3 linked regions of the Sus scrofa genome follow. The main gene of each other region encodes a partner of the protein of the gene in region 2 in a complex. Links are inferred from orthologs where the notes say so. Each region holds a gene or a part of one and is shown on either strand. Other genes may lie near its edges. The genes, in order: RORA, NRIP1 and ESRRG.

Region 1 (4,769 bases), on a different chromosome or scaffold from region 2:
TTCTTTTCAAAAAAATAAATAAAGTACCTTCAGTCTGCCTTGTGGAGATTTTGCATGTAAATGACAGCACCTGTCCTTAGGGGCTTAGAGTGAATTGGTGGCTTATACAATTCTAGGCCTGAAATTTAGAGTCCCCATCAGCATGAGTGCTGTCTTAATGAGCCCCACCCAAGTTTGTCACCTGAGTCGTGGAAACTGGAGATTGACCAGAATCCAGCTCTCACTTGTTTTCTCTTGTGCAAAAGGAAAGCACAACCTCTTTGGCAGGAAAGAATCCACCAGTTGGCCTGGATGGTGGGTCCTGATTCCCAGTTTCACGTCCATCCATCCTGCCTCCTTCCCTAAGACTGGTGGAATTATGATGGTGGTCAAATAGATGAATTCTTCCACCCAGTCAGGTGTAAATTTAACCATAGTCGATTAGGAATCTAAGTCCCTCCAGCAGAGGCTTTATCTGCATATACAGAGTCAGACTGAGAAATAAATGCGTTAGTGGGGAGTTCGGACCAAGAAGTCATAGGATTTTTTCCCCCCAATTACATAGGTGTTTCACGAAAAATCGTTTGGGATTCTGAATTAACTGGAAAGTCACTCCAGCTATTGGTCCACTTTAAATATGGGGACATCACAAGAAGGGCTGCAAACACAGATTCTCCCAGCAGGGATCTTCCAGTGTCTGCCCTTTCCAAAATTCTGATATTCTTTTCACTTGGGGCTAAACAAGTATACCAAAAATCATCCTTAAAGAGGGGTCCAAGGGTTTCACACAGACCTGAGGCATGGCCCAGGAGTGGGGTGGGGGAGACTCAGAGATGTAACTCAGAGAACTGCAAACACTTCATCCAGTCAGTTAAACTTTTTCAAGGAGGCCCCAGATTTGGTTGTTCGATCAGAAAGAAACTCATGCCACTGTACGGATTAGTGAAATTAATGCAAGATGAGGTTTGACTGCTTGTGACTCATTGTACCTCCATGAGTCTCTGCATCCCTGTGCACTGATCTGAACACCGTGAAGAGACAGAGGAGGTGGTCTAGGCCAGCTGCCTAGGTAGAGGGGGAATGAGCCCATTAAGTCTCATTTCAGTGGCTCCCACTGAGCGCAGGGTCATGTGACAGCACCAAGACCCTGGTCATTGCTCTGGGTTTCGTCTATCAGCCTTGGGTCTGTTTCTGAAATAGCCTCTCTGGGCTGTGTCTTTGCTGTTTGGGATGTGGCATGAGCCTGTGTGGGGCAGGACTGTTTTCACCCCTGGACCGTGTCCTTGTTTTGCGGCCCTTTGGTTTTGGATTGAGAGTGTCTGAGATTTCAAAGGAACTCCTAAAGCATGGCAGAGAGGAGAATGGAGAAAAGCGTATTGTATATGGTGTGGTGTGGCTTTTTTCTTCCAGCTGTAAAGTTTGGCCGCATGTCGAAAAAGCAGAGAGACAGCTTGTATGCAGAAGTACAGAAACACCGAATGCAGCAGCAGCAGCGCGACCACCAACAGCAGCCTGGAGAGGCTGAGCCGCTGACTCCCACCTACAACATCTCGGCCAATGGGCTGACGGAACTTCACGATGACCTCAGCAACTACATTGACGGCCACACCCCTGAGGGCAGCAAGGCAGACTCTGCCGTCAGCAGCTTCTACCTGGACATACAGCCTTCCCCGGACCAGTCAGGTCTTGATATCAATGGAATCAAACCAGAACCAATATGTGACTACACACCAGCATCAGGCTTCTTTCCCTACTGCTCTTTCACCAATGGAGAGACTTCCCCAACTGTGTCCATGGCAGAATTAGGTAACGGCTTCCATGTTTCCATTGGGATATATTCCTTGTGCCCATCAGAGTAAATGGGATATGTTTGACTTTCCGCTAAGGAGTTATGTTATTAAAATAATGCATCTAGGAGTTCCTGTCGTGGTGCAGCAGAAATGAATCTGACTAGGAACCATGAGGTTGCAGGTTTGATCCCTGGCCTTGCTCAGTGGGTTAAGGATCTGGTGTTGCCGTGAGTTGTGGTGTAGGTCGCAGACATGGCTTGGATCCATCGTTGCTGTGGCTGTGGTGTAGGCCAGTAGCTGTAGCTCTGATTCAACCCCTAGCCTGGAAACCTCCATATGCAGTGGGTGTGGCCCTAAAAAGCAAAAAATAAAATAAAATGAAATAGAAAAGTATCTAAAAAAATAAATAAATACCATAAAATGATGCATCTAGCAGGACAATTCAGCTTTACCTTTTGGACCACTTCGTAATTCCAGCCTGGCCCCTTGCTCTTTGCCTGTCCGCTGTTTCCCATTGTATATCCAAGAAGTTCATTGACCTCTCAGCGTCAAAGCTGGGACAAGATGAACTTAAAGCCATCTTTAAATTCCACCAAAAAATGTCTAAGCTCAGGGAATGGCCCCATTAACTTCACCTCTTTAAGTTATATTCTAGGTATTGCTTTATATACCAAAAGTCATGGAATGGCAACCCACAGACTCAAGCTGGTCCAAAGACATATTTCTCTGAGCTTTACAATTTTTGAACTGGTTGCTAAAGTACAGAGCTTTACAATTTTTAAATTGGTTGCTAAAGTTTTAAACCTGGACGCCTCCACCAGAAAGTTCAGATGTTCCGTTTCTTGTGGGAGGAAAGAAGAATGATCTGGTTACACTGGAGCAGTATTTGTGAATGGCAGCAACCAGCTGGTACCAGTTAGGTCCTAACCTTTTAAATGAACCCATCCCGCTGTCCCCATTTAGATCACTCCTCAGGCCCTGTTAGCATCTACGTTTTTCAACTCTGATGTGTTCCCTAAACTTTCAAGGAAAGTTGGCTTATTTGCCAAAATGTTTTCGTGATGTATATTAATGATGAAACAGATGTATGTCATGGAAGATCCACCTTGCCCCCCAAAACAAAACAAAACAAAACCCAACAACCCTGTCATTTCCTTATTCCTGTGACATTGGTGCTTCTCTGGAGATGTGACCTAGAAATGTTAACACAGACAATGGAAAACTTTTCATTTCAAGGAAGTTGTGTTAACATCCTCTGTTATATTTAATCGATTTTTAAGTGCAGCACTATTATTAGAGAAACTTTGATAAGGACCTTGGCTGTTTGAGAATTTGATCTGCTCCTCCCCATGATTCCTCATACAAGGTTATACTCCTTTGGGATATTTCAATTAGTTGCTGTGAAGATGACTAAGTTAAGACGAGGAGAGAATGGAGACTTCAGATGGAAAAGAACCAGCAGGTTCTGACTTGAGCACAGACACTCTTAGTTCACAGAGAGAACAGTTGTGTTCTTTAGATGGTTTCTCCACCTCTGTACCCCATAAAACATTTTTAAGTGAAATTTATATTTCCAGTAAAATCTTTCTCCAAATAGAACAAATTGAATGTTCTTTACGGTTTTTACACAAGCACCTCTTTATGGGTCTAAATTTAAATCCTCAAGAGCAGGGACATTTTAAGCCTGGTCTTTAACCACTGAACAGCATTAAAGGTGTATCACAGCTCTTTTGATTAACAGAGAAACCTCTGAACTAGAAGCCAAGCTGAGCAGAGGTGGGTTTGATTTTTTTTTTTTTTTTTTCTTGAACTAGAACAAAAACCTTCCGTTTTGGTCGTGAAATCTTGGTTGGCTAAGCCTTAAGCAGGGCTGTAATGAAAGTAAAATTTTCAGAAATGAATAAGGATATGATTGAAAGTTGACAGGCACTTGTGAAAAATGACCTGGCTCACTTTAGGCTTGCTTCTACTTTATCATAACTACTAGTGAATCTGCCTGTTTGCTTGTCATATGTTCAACCCAAAATAAACCCACACTGCTTGACCTAAGTGTGGCCCTTGAACATGGCACTTGGGCTGAATGTGTGCTGATTCCTGAGTGGAGCCAGAAATGGCTCAGCTTCTCCTTTCCCAGCAAACCTGTCAACTCCTGGAGGGTGTGGGGCCCTGTGCCCACATCTATTCTACATGTTCTCTTCAATTAGGGATTTTTCACATGTATTATGGCATTTTCCAGGATGAATAAAATTAACTGTTACTAAGATTTGTCCCAAACCCAAAACTAAAGAAGAATTTATCTGAAAAGGATGTAACAGGACTCTAATTTTCTGTCCCTTTTGCACGTGGAGGATAGTTTGAGGAGCTAAGAGTAGCATCAAAGTGACCAAAGGCTTTGCTGCTGCTTATCCAAAGTCTTTACTTCCCTGAAATTCCTCTGGGGCTTAAGTTCTGCTCTTTCTTTAATTTGACTTCATTTTAGGCTAAATTTTGTCATCCAATTTGAAACAAATGAAACCATTTGTATAATTGGAAAATAAATTGTGAGTTAACATAGCCTAAGCCCAATTAATTCTGTCTTTCAATAATAGCATCTACAATCCATTACTTTTAGTGGAAATATATCCGCATTCCTGGCTATGAAATTTTACCCTTGTTATACACTTAGCACCCAAATTATACATTCCAGATAAACTATCTAGGTTTATTTTTTTTAAGCGCTAATTGCACCTATTACTATAATCAGTAATTAAAGCCTTGTGCATGAGAGACAGCTGATGTACTGGGCAAAGCATGAGACAAGAAGTCAGTTTACATGGGTTGTGGTTGTAGCTTTGCTGTAGGTTATACAACCTAGTATAAGTCCTGTTATCCCTGCAAGCTGCAATCTCCCTACCTATGGAATATAAAGATTAAGAGCACATGGAGTTCCCTTGTGGCACAGCAGTTTAGGGGTCCAGTTTTGCTACTACTGTGGCACGGGTTTGATCCCTGTCCAGAGAA
Region 2 (4,767 bases):
AAAAAAAAATGCCTTGTTTAAAAGCTTCTTTATTTAGTGTAGACAGTAAGATTGTCACAGAGTAAAGATGAGAGGGAGGTGAATTTCTTCACTGGCCAGTGGAATTTTCATTTCAAAATCAGCATATGCCTTCATCTCTTCAGGATGTAGCATGATATTCACTCCTATTATTTTATAATATGTCCAGTCACTATTTACAAATCATTTTGAGAAAAAATAATGATTCCGGGTTTTAGATCATATTAGGAAATAACACCCATTTTCAATATAAAAATCTTAGAAACAACTTCAAGTAGAACAATTTCAAATAGATTTCCTTCTAATTAATAGTTGATTATACAACAATTTTTTGATAGGTCAGTTGCTAACCTGGTTTACAGTTAAAACCAAAAACATCTGGTGAATGAACTGTGGATTGTAAAAACTGAACTGAAAAACTTGATCTTGTTTCAACATAAAAACATCATGTGGCTCAATAGCATATTAAGTTTTTCCAAGAAAAACCAATGGTTATTTTTAATCACTATTTCAAAATCACAGATCCGATGGAGTGACTGTGTATAATTCTGTCATGTATATGTGCCCTCTGTATTTGTTTGTTTAGTTGAGTTTAGTGTCTTTCTTGGGTTTGAAATAAATGTTTTCATCTTTGTCAGCACTGTTCTGAGGACAAGGATTTTAATAGAAGTTAAGGATGTATTCGGGAGGAGTTTCCAAACCATCCTGGAATCACCTGAGTTTGGTAAGTGGCCCTGTTAGTCCATCCCTAAGGCTAATTAAGTAGATGTTACTCATTAGAACACATAAATAATCACAGATTTTCCTGAGATGTTGAGCCAGGTATGAAAGTTGTCCCCTTCACCCAATTTTTTTTTTTGTCATAAAAAGTATTCTGAACCCGATTTCCAAAGACATAACAGTAATATACGAAGTACAATATTGCAAATTTTGAGTTGATGTGTGACTATACTGGGGAAAATATAGGCATCAAATAGTTTGTTTACAATCCTGTGTTCTGAGAAAAGTCAGGCAATGGTTTTCAAATTTCAGAGTGCAGAAGAAACACCTAGGGAGTGTGTTAAGATGCAGAAGGAAGATTCCCAGGTCCACTTAGCAGAGATTCTTGTTCTGTGTAGATCTGAGATGCTGCCTAGGAATCTGCATTTTAAAACTAGTGCTCCAGATGATTCTAACGCAGGTAGTCTGAGTCCAGCTTTATTAAGAAACCCTGGTCACAAGACTCACAGGTACCACAGAAATGGTGAGAAGTAGCTTTTATAAGAGATGGTGAAAACTGTCCAAAGAAAAGCCATTTTGCTTCTGTTAAAAACAACTTATTTCTACTATTCAGGAAACCACCTGAAGATAAATGCTAACTCTCCTAATTCTGCAAAAGGAGGAATATTAATTTAGTAAAGTAGTTAAAATACAAAAATGGAAATCTGCCTTTTTTTAAGATCTATCAAACTTCCATCAATTGTAATCAATTTTTTACTAAGTAGTACAAGGTTTAAAGAAATATAGTGTATTGAAAAGGACTGGGGTGGAGCAGACACATTAGGGAATCATAAAACCCCTTCCAAGAGTTAAAAATAATTTTTTCTTTAGCAAAAGTGAAAAATGTAAGCATATTTTTCCTAATTTATGTTTGAACTGAATTGAGAAATAAATCCGAACTAGGTTTTTTAATTGAACTAGGTTCAACAATTATCTTTAAAGAGTTATTATTTAATAAATTGGCCTTAAAAAAAAATGTGTTGTGTAGGCTGACTTCTGAAAAGCAAAATAAAATACCCTAATAAAGGCAGCAATGCATTAATCCACTGTGGATGAAGATTTACATTTTAATGTATGCCTGTTATCTGTGATTAAAAAAAGGATATCATTCATAGGCTACTCACAGTTGTTGTCTGATGCATACAAAGTGTTAAACAACCACTGGCTAGTTCAGCAGCTTCCTCATGACATCTAACGTAAAGCAAAAAGTAGTATGCATATTTAAACATCACCAGGAACCAAGACTTTTCAAAATGAGAAAGTTTCAATTATACCATGCTTTTCTCAAATCATGCGCTTATTTATACAGATCTCAAGTTCAAACTCATTTAGTTTTTAAAAAGATCCAAAGATGGACGGCAGGTACATTTTATTCTGATTCCTTTTTTATTGTTAGCATGTTTCCCAGAAGTCCATAAACTTCTCCATTTGCGCTGTGTGGGCGAGAGGCATTATTTCCCATATGGCTATTATAAGGGCTTCTTAAATTAAAGAAAGAAGCTTTAGTTTCTGCAGCAGGGAGTAACTCTTCTTTGATTGTAACCTGTGAGATGTTTTCAGCAGAGGAAGGCTCCCTCCAAACGTCCTTGTCTTGTGTTTCTCGACTGGTAACAGAATTGCCTCCTTTCTGGAGCATGTAATACAGTATTGGGTTAGTTTTGGTCAGTCTTGGAGAGTCTTTTTCATACTCATTCTTTTCCGCGTCTGTGATAACCCACTTAATGGGTCTCTTCTCACTGGGCATGGAACACCCGTTCACAAGCCCAGATTCTGGTCTGGACCCTGTGCAGCCCAAGTGCTCAGGGAAAGGAGGACTCAGGGGAGTTTTGACTCCTCCTGGGTATGGAAATGTCCTGCTGTCCATGCAACTGCTGGGCTGAGCGGCACTGTACATCAGTCCATTTAAAGAAGAAATGCTGAATTCAGGCTTGCTGTTGGTCACACTGTTTTTGCATCCTTTCTTTTTACTGTCACCGACAGAGTTACTCCGATGCTGGGACAAATCTCTCACACAGTTTTCTGAGAGAAGCAGCTGTTTCAAAACGTTGAAGCTTTTGCTCTCTCTGGCCCAACTCCTGTGTTCACTTTCGCTGGGTGAACTATGACTGCCAGGGTATTTCAAGTCAAGCTCATTTCTGCTAAGCTTCAGCTCTTGCTGGTTAAGCAAGGACCCATACAGCACCTCCGGAGCACTGTGACTGCCTGCAGCATCGACTATGTTATTTTTCATCTTTTTAAATGGATTTTCTAACGGCTCAGTATAAAGCTTCCTTTTCTTAGGGACCATGCAAAGATTCTTTGATTCCAAAAGTGTCAGTTCACTGTTTCTGTGACTGCCGTCCAGGTCATCAGCCGGGTAGCTCTCTTGATTTTGTCTCAGCAAGCGACTTAGCAGACCGTTCTTTGAGAAAGAAAAATCCTGAGGTGAAGCGGGCTCCGATTTCAAGTCCTCGGGAGCTGGTAAGGCAGCTGCGCCTCTCTGCACGGGAGGAGCCATCCCTAAGAATGGGGCGCCCTGAGCATCGGGGCTCGAGTGCACATCCGGGGTGTGCGCGTGGAAGTCGTCGCAAGGCTCAGATTTTATTTTCACCATCAATATTTGTTCACTTAAAGCTCGGTCTGTATGTTCCTGAGTACTTCCCTCCCTTAAGGGAATCTTCTCTTTCTTCTCCATCTTCCCTTTGTTGGAGTTTCCCAGCAGCAACTGGAGGACAGTGCGCCTTTCAAGCAGATTTTCTATTTCGGAACCAGAAAGTCCGGGCTCAGGGCCGGCTGAGTGGCTGCCGAATGCTTTATTTTCTTCAGCTGGGTTTGTTTTATTTGCGAGCAGAGGGCTACCGAGTCTCTCCATCACACCTGTAGGTTTATCCGTGTTGACGCTTAGCAGCTGTTTACTGGGTCTCTGCTCTTCCCCTGACATGGAAGACTGCATGCCACACTGCGCTAAATTTTTTAACAGCTTGCTGGCACTGAACGTGGCAGAGTTTTGTGCACCTTCGTTTTGGACTGGTTTCTCTCCTTGCAAGTCTTTGCTCTTTGTAAGGTCCATCAAGCGGTTGGAGGTGGCATTTGTTGGCTTTTCAGACGGAGGGCCACAGGCATACGGTGGGGAATTCCATCTAATGACCAAAGAATGCTGGGAAAGGTTGATGGGAGACTCGGCTTTGGCCGATGCAAGTAGGGGTGGAGTGCTCACTGGCGTCGTCCTGTTGGTACCCGGGCTTTCAATGACAGAGGTCCGAGCATAGTTCTGTGTGCTGAACTTTGTCACATCACTGTGGACTTCCTGAGGGCTGTTGTTTCTTTCTACATTTTCTTCATTCTTATGGCCGAGGAGCAGCTGAAGAAGGGTCACTTTCTGGTGTGAATTTAGCCTAGAATTCTTTGAGGTATCTTGATCTTCTTTGTTATCTACTTCGGGGACTTTGGGATCCCAAGTGTTTAGTAAGGACTGAGTTAAGTTATCTAGAGAAACAGGCTGGTCAGGTTCTGGCTTTTCGGTTCGGTGCTTGCAAGACAAGTCTATGGGCACACAGTTGGAATAAGAGCTTTCATCACCACTGCTATCATCTGTAAAACTGGGATTGTTATCTGAGTAGTCATCAATAGTTGTAGGTGTACTGCTCTCCTCAAAAATGCTTCCTCTCTCACTGTGACTGTGTCCGTTCATTGGCTTAGGTATGGTCTGGCTTTTAAGAAGATGTAAAAGCAAACTATTATTAGCAGCTTGTTTGATATTGTTTCTTTCCAGTGAATTCTTATAGCCTGCATTTTTGGGGGAAGAAGGAACGAGACCCATTGGACTTTGAAATGTTGTACTTTTGCTAGCCATTAATTTGTTTGATGATGTTCTTGCCTGGCCATTAAGATGGCCTGACACTCCTTTGGAGACCTGGAAACTGCCCACATCCTTCTGGCCATTTTCCTGTAATCTGGCCATAGCAGCAAGTCTTTCACTCGCTGCCTGATTTGCATTTTGTGTTTTTAAAG
Region 3 (5,353 bases), on a different chromosome or scaffold from region 2:
TTTTTTTTTGGCCTCTGAGCAGGTCATTCCTCTTATGCTTTGGGGCAAGAGGGGAGCGTTTGATGGTATATTCAGGGCTCTCTGAGGAGTCTTGTCCTTTGGTCTTAGTGGCACTATAGAAAGCCTGTAGCTCAGAGCTCTGTGTGATTAATGGCTCTGCCAGGCATTCCTATTTAAAAACCATGCCTACTTTATATCTTTTTTTCGGCTCCGTCCCTGATTTTCTCTGATCCTTATTTTTCTCCTCAGCAGAAATTACCCACTGTCAGAGTTGTCTCCCTCCACCAAAGCCTGTGACTTCACTCCACAGCGTTGCTGGGGGGATGTTTTTCTTAAGTAGATAATTGGCCTAGGAGCATCTAGCAGGTCTAAGTGGCCAGAAGGTTCTACCCAGGTTAATCATTGGCCGGGACTGCTCTTCCTCCTGCCCCCTATTCCAAATCCACATCTTTGAGAAGCAGAAAGAAGAAACGGCTACCAACCAGAGGAGACACTGCCTGGCACCAAGCAAAGCCCGAGTTTCCCTGTTCTGCTTGTAGACTGGATGTGTACATTGCATTTTCAAAATTATTCTGTCAGCCTGGGTGACAATTTCATTTATTTATTTATTTTTTATCCCATTTCTCCACTCTGTTGTTTGGGTAGCTATGTCCCATCAATTTCTCATGCGGGTGGAGCAGGGAAAGGCCTAACAACCCTGGGCTGCCAGCCAAGCTCACTGGTGACTGACGCTCCCCTAACTGAGCAAAGATTTGCTCTGCACAGAGCAGGGCTTGACTGTACAAGAACCAGTGGTGACAGCGAGGGTGCCGGCTGGAATCTTAACAAAGCTGCTGCGAAACGTGTGCTCAGGCGGGTGGAACCAGCACTTAAGCTGAATGTTAAGGGGCTTCAATCTCGGTGCCTTTTTTTTTTTCTCCCCATCATTTACCTTCTGAATAAACCCCGGGATTTTACAGGGAAAACAGCACATTAGCACACTTAAATCACAAATCCTTGGACCTTTTGAAAAGGCTGTTGAAGATTTATTAACTTGTAGGAGCAATCATTTAATTGCTTGCCTCTGCTACACCACATTTTTTTTTTTTTTAAATGACCAAATTAAACCTGCTGCACAAATTTGGGCTTTGAAGTTCCCGAAAAAGGATCATTCCTTTGAGGGAGTGCTAGAAGAAGAATTCAAAGGCTCTGATTTGGTACAAACGGCCAAACGCCCCCCCCACCCCACCCCACCTCCCCCAGCCCGGGTGCCCTCGTACACAGAAGGAAATCCTTCTCCTTTAAATGTTTCAGATTCATTTTCCAAGCCAGGTCTGCATGTCACCGTCATCTCTCCCTCTGTCATTTCAGCGACAGCCCAGAAGCATTTACAAGCGGAGGAACCTCATACTTACAATTTGGGGACGGGTAATGCAGCTGTGGAGCTTAGGAAAAGAAACACCTGTTCTGTTTACACACTGCTGTCCTTCCTGTTCAAAGACAACACCACTCGTGGGAAAGTTGGAGAAACTAGTGAGAAACAGAAAGTCCGTTCCACAGCGTGGGCAGGGGCAAACTACTCTTTGCATGGAGCAGTTAGCAGAGTCTCTGGCTGTTTGAGACTTTGTCCCTTAGGTCAAATGCAGCCCAAAGCCAACAAAATGATTTACCATCTCACCGCTTTCAATGTGATGAAACGCAACTGCCGCATCACATATTTAGACATTTCCCACTTCACATGTCAAAACAGTATAGATGCGAATAGGTGCACCAGCAACACGGCGGCCGATTTGCATGTTTGTTCAGTTGGCTAGCAATGTTCGGAAGTTGTGTGTGGACGGCTAGACAGCGTCAGAGTGACAGAGGTGGTGCATCTGGGTTTTTTAAGGGCTGGCTGCCTTTTCCCTGGGAAGGATTTCTGTTCCATTGCATCAGACGCCCCGTAACACGAGCTCATCAACCTGTGTGAGCATCAGAAGTCCAGCCGGTCACAAGTCCAATTCGCTTCGATGCCAATTGAGATTGACATGGGCTGTTGTCCTAAAGATCACACGGTCCCGTGTGGCTAAATTGGTGGTCTCGGGAAGAAACCAAGGTACAGTCTGTCAAATGGAAAAGGCATGTGCAGGCTTAAGTGTTCGGTTTCTACAATGACAGTTTGCTGAATCGCAGCGGATTAAAACACTGGTTTGTAATTGGGGGGAAAATCCTTTTTTTTTTTTTCCCTGTTATTTGATTCTGTTTGGGCTGCAGTCTTTTTGGTTTGTTTGTTTGAGTCCGATTTTTAAGGCCTGAGTGCCCGGCAAACGACAAGGGGCTGTGAGGTCGGGCCTCTCTTGGCAGGGACGTGTTTGGGTCCTGATGGTGGGAAGGTTGCCACGCCATCAAACCCAAACCGGGTGAACTGAGAGACCGTGCTTGGTTTCTCTGTGGGCCTGGGAACCTGGATGCTGCAATCGAAAGCCGGTGTATTCAGCATAACACATCCAACTACCGTTCACACCCAGCCTCCCGCAAGGCAGGCTCCTAACAGCTCTGTTTTCTGCCTACAGCCTGTGCACAAGAGTGGAACCGCCACACGCACTGCATGCTAAAGGCCGCCGCCTTTGTCTTCTCCAAGTTCTGTCTATTTCAGAGGCTAACATGCAGCAATTAGTCTAATTAATGTGAAACAATGAGCTGTGTTACCACTTATCAAATTGATTGTTCCCCTATCAAAACAAAACAGGCTGGCTTTTTGATGTAATTTCAAGAGATGATTTGAAATGTCATGTTGCTGCGAGCCAATTACCTTATGACTGGAGTCACGGTCAACAGAATACATAATTAGCATGAGTTTGGGAAGGCTGCTTACTGCTCCTATGTTAATTAACTGTCTTTTGTCATAAAACAAAAAGGTTGTACCGGAAGGTTTTGAAATAGGTCTTTTTTATTTACATTTCTTTGTGCTTATCAACGTGAGGCATGACAATGCAAAAGAATAGGAAATTTTAATTCCGCTACTTCAAATTAATACTCAGCTGCAAGGTCAGCCGTCCTGTGCAGACTGCCATACCATTCACTTCGCTCGCGTCTTGCCCCAGTGTATTATATTCCTCGCCGAGTTAAATTAAATATCGGCTAAAACTCAAATGTAAGAAATCCTAAGCTCCCGGAAACAAATCCCCTAATAGACAGCCTTCTTCGGAAGAGTTTCGCACGCTTTTATGCATCTTGTGAGGGCAGGACAGCCCTCGGCTGTCCTGGGAATTACATTCAGCTGTCGTCTTTCTATTTCAGTGTTGAAATTTGGAGAGAATAAGCCCATTCTCAAAGGATGCTATTGCCTTTACCTCACTGTGGTAGAGAGAGGATGCAGACAAGGCCCCGTGCACTTCTAGAGGGTGCCCATCTGTGCGTCCAGGGCTCCGAAACTCATCTGCAGCTTCCTCTCCTCTGGGAGACCCTGGCCATTGCACTTTTTTTTTGTTGTTGTTGCTCTTTAGGGCCATACCTGCGACATATGGAAGTTCCCAGGCTAGGAGTTGAATCAGGGCTACAGCTGCCAGCCTATAGCACAGCCACCACAGATCCAAGCCGCATCTGCAACCTACACCACAGCTCACGGCCACACTGGATCCTTAACCCACTGAGCGAGGCCAGGGATTGAACCTGAAACCTCATGGATCCTAGTTAGATTCGTTTTCTCTGTGCCATGACGGGAACTCCCTATCTCACATTCTTGATCAAGGAACTGCTTCTGTGTTTCCTGAGCTGGAATGCATTCTGGAGGTAGCTTTAATCAAGAACTGAGAATGCACAATCAAGTTCAGGGCAGCCTGGAGTCATGGTTTGACACGCATGTTAGCAAACCAGCCTTCAGTTTGGAGGACGGGTTGGAATTTTCCCCGCATTCGAATACTATCCTTCCATAGCCTAATGGCACGGTTTTACCTGCAAAGGCAGGGGCCTCTCTTGGAGAACCCACGATTTTTCTCTAAGAAATGCGTTGCCATTTTGTAAGTTTGAAAACTACCCCCCACCCACCACGAGATCGTTCAAGTCTTAAAGTCCTATTAGAATGGTTCTCAGGGGCCATAAAAATACAGCACTTTGCTGTTAGACACATTAAATGTGCTCCGCCAATCAGATTTTCTGTCCCAATTTGTTTCTATTTTTTGGCATAGTTTTTTTTTTTTTTTTCCTGTTTCTGACATCAGTAAAAACACTTCTAAAAGGAGTTCCCACTGTGGCAGTGGGTTAAGGATCCTACCTTGCCACAGCTATGGTGTAGGTCACAACTGCAGCTCGAATTCAGTCTTCGGCCTGGGAACCTCTATATGCGGTGGGTGTAGCCAAAAAAAAAAAAAAAAAAAAAAGCACCTTTAAATGTGGTATAGAAAATATTAAGTGGATGGGGTGCCGTGCTTTTCCTTTTGGGGTTGGGGTTTCTCGTTTTTGTGATACAGAATAAGGAACCTTGGGATGCAGGCAGTTGACAGGAAGGGGGGAGGCAGGCTGGCTGTGCCAGGTCAGGGAGGCAGTCAGTTTCTGATAAGCTCTTAACCTCTCCGCAGCAGCTTCTCTTCTTCCTGCCAATTTGCTAATTTAAACGTTTAGCCTTGAATTTTTTTTTTTTTTTTTTTTTTGCTTTTTAGGGCTGCACCCACGGCAAGTGAAAGTTTCAGGCTAGGGGCTAAATCGGAGCTATAGCTGCCAGCCTACGCTATAGCCACAGCAACACAGGATTCAAGCTGCATCTGCAACCTACACCACAGCTCACGGCAACACCGGATCCTTAACCCACCAAGCAAGGCCAGGGATCAAACCCACATTCTCATGGACGCTAGTTGGATTTGCTTCTGCTGCGCCACAACAGGTACTCCTATCCTTGAATTGCGATTCTAGTTTTCAAAAGGGGCAGCTGGGGAGAGGGAAGCAAAATGAGGACGGCCACCTGAGAAATTAAGCAAGGACAAGCGATCACCATCACCAAGTGCCTTCAAAGCACGAGGGCAGCGGAACCCCAGAATGGTCACGGAAGGGAATTCATTAATTTCATAGCTGGACCTGGAGTTTCTGCAGGGTTTGGCACATTCCTTCTTTGGAATCGAAAGGTTACAGAACCCTGGAGTGGAAGGACATCTTACGGAAATGCCCTCTCCCCAGCTCCCTCCAAGGGGAGTTCGTCCCACGCTGGCCCTGACCACTGAAATGAGATGCCTTTCAAGGAGGCGTTCTCTTTGGGGGAATTGACCAATATCCCAAAAGTTCTCAGATGCTCACGGATGAGCAAACGCAGAACGCCTGATGTTTGGCTGCTAGAACGGCTCTAAAGCTATCGCACAGCTCAGAGATAGCAGCGGTGTCACAGCCACTGGGCTGTGGGCACTTG

What was found.
Region 1: the proteins of NRIP1 (region 2) and RORA are in contact, whole or in part, in a crystal structure (PDB 4S15), measured with the Homo sapiens proteins. The link is inferred for Sus scrofa from reciprocal best matches to the Homo sapiens genes NRIP1 and RORA. Residues at the interface, in NP_001426204.1 of Homo sapiens: Thr499, Leu500, Leu501, Gln502, Leu504, Leu505, His507; in NP_599023.1 of Homo sapiens: Gln332, Val335, Lys339, Phe344, Met345, Gln349, Gln352, Ile353, Leu356, Pro505, Leu506, Glu509, Leu510.
Region 3: the proteins of NRIP1 (region 2) and ESRRG are in contact, whole or in part, in a crystal structure (PDB 2GPP), measured with the Homo sapiens proteins. The link is inferred for Sus scrofa from reciprocal best matches to the Homo sapiens genes NRIP1 and ESRRG. Residues at the interface, in NP_001426204.1 of Homo sapiens: Ser378, Leu379, Leu380, Leu381, Leu383, Leu384, Lys385, Ser386, Gln387; in NP_001429.2 of Homo sapiens: Val277, Ile280, Lys284, Phe289, Leu294, Gln297, Met298, Leu301, Gln302, Lys448, Leu449, Glu452, Met453.

The regions. Positions count from the first base shown.
Region 1 is NC_010443.5:111,456,355-111,461,123, forward strand, and holds part of RORA (nuclear receptor ROR-alpha), read left to right. Parts: intron 1-1,389; coding exon 1,390-1,785; intron 1,786-4,769. UniProt on the Homo sapiens protein: Nuclear receptor that binds DNA as a monomer to ROR response elements (RORE) containing a single core motif half-site 5'-AGGTCA-3' preceded by a short A-T-rich sequence.
Region 2 is NC_010455.5:179,825,261-179,830,027, forward strand, and holds part of NRIP1 (nuclear receptor-interacting protein 1), read right to left. Parts: coding exon 2,147-4,767; 3' UTR 1-2,146. UniProt on the Homo sapiens protein: Modulates transcriptional activation by steroid receptors such as NR3C1, NR3C2 and ESR1. Also modulates transcriptional repression by nuclear hormone receptors.
Region 3 is NC_010452.4:7,028,227-7,033,579, forward strand, and holds the start of ESRRG (estrogen-related receptor gamma), read right to left. Parts: upstream 3,506-5,353; 5' UTR 1,706-3,505; coding exon 1,650-1,705; exon of another isoform or gene 1,395-1,649; intron 1-1,394. UniProt on the Homo sapiens protein: Orphan receptor that acts as a transcription activator in the absence of bound ligand. Binds specifically to an estrogen response element and activates reporter genes controlled by estrogen response elements.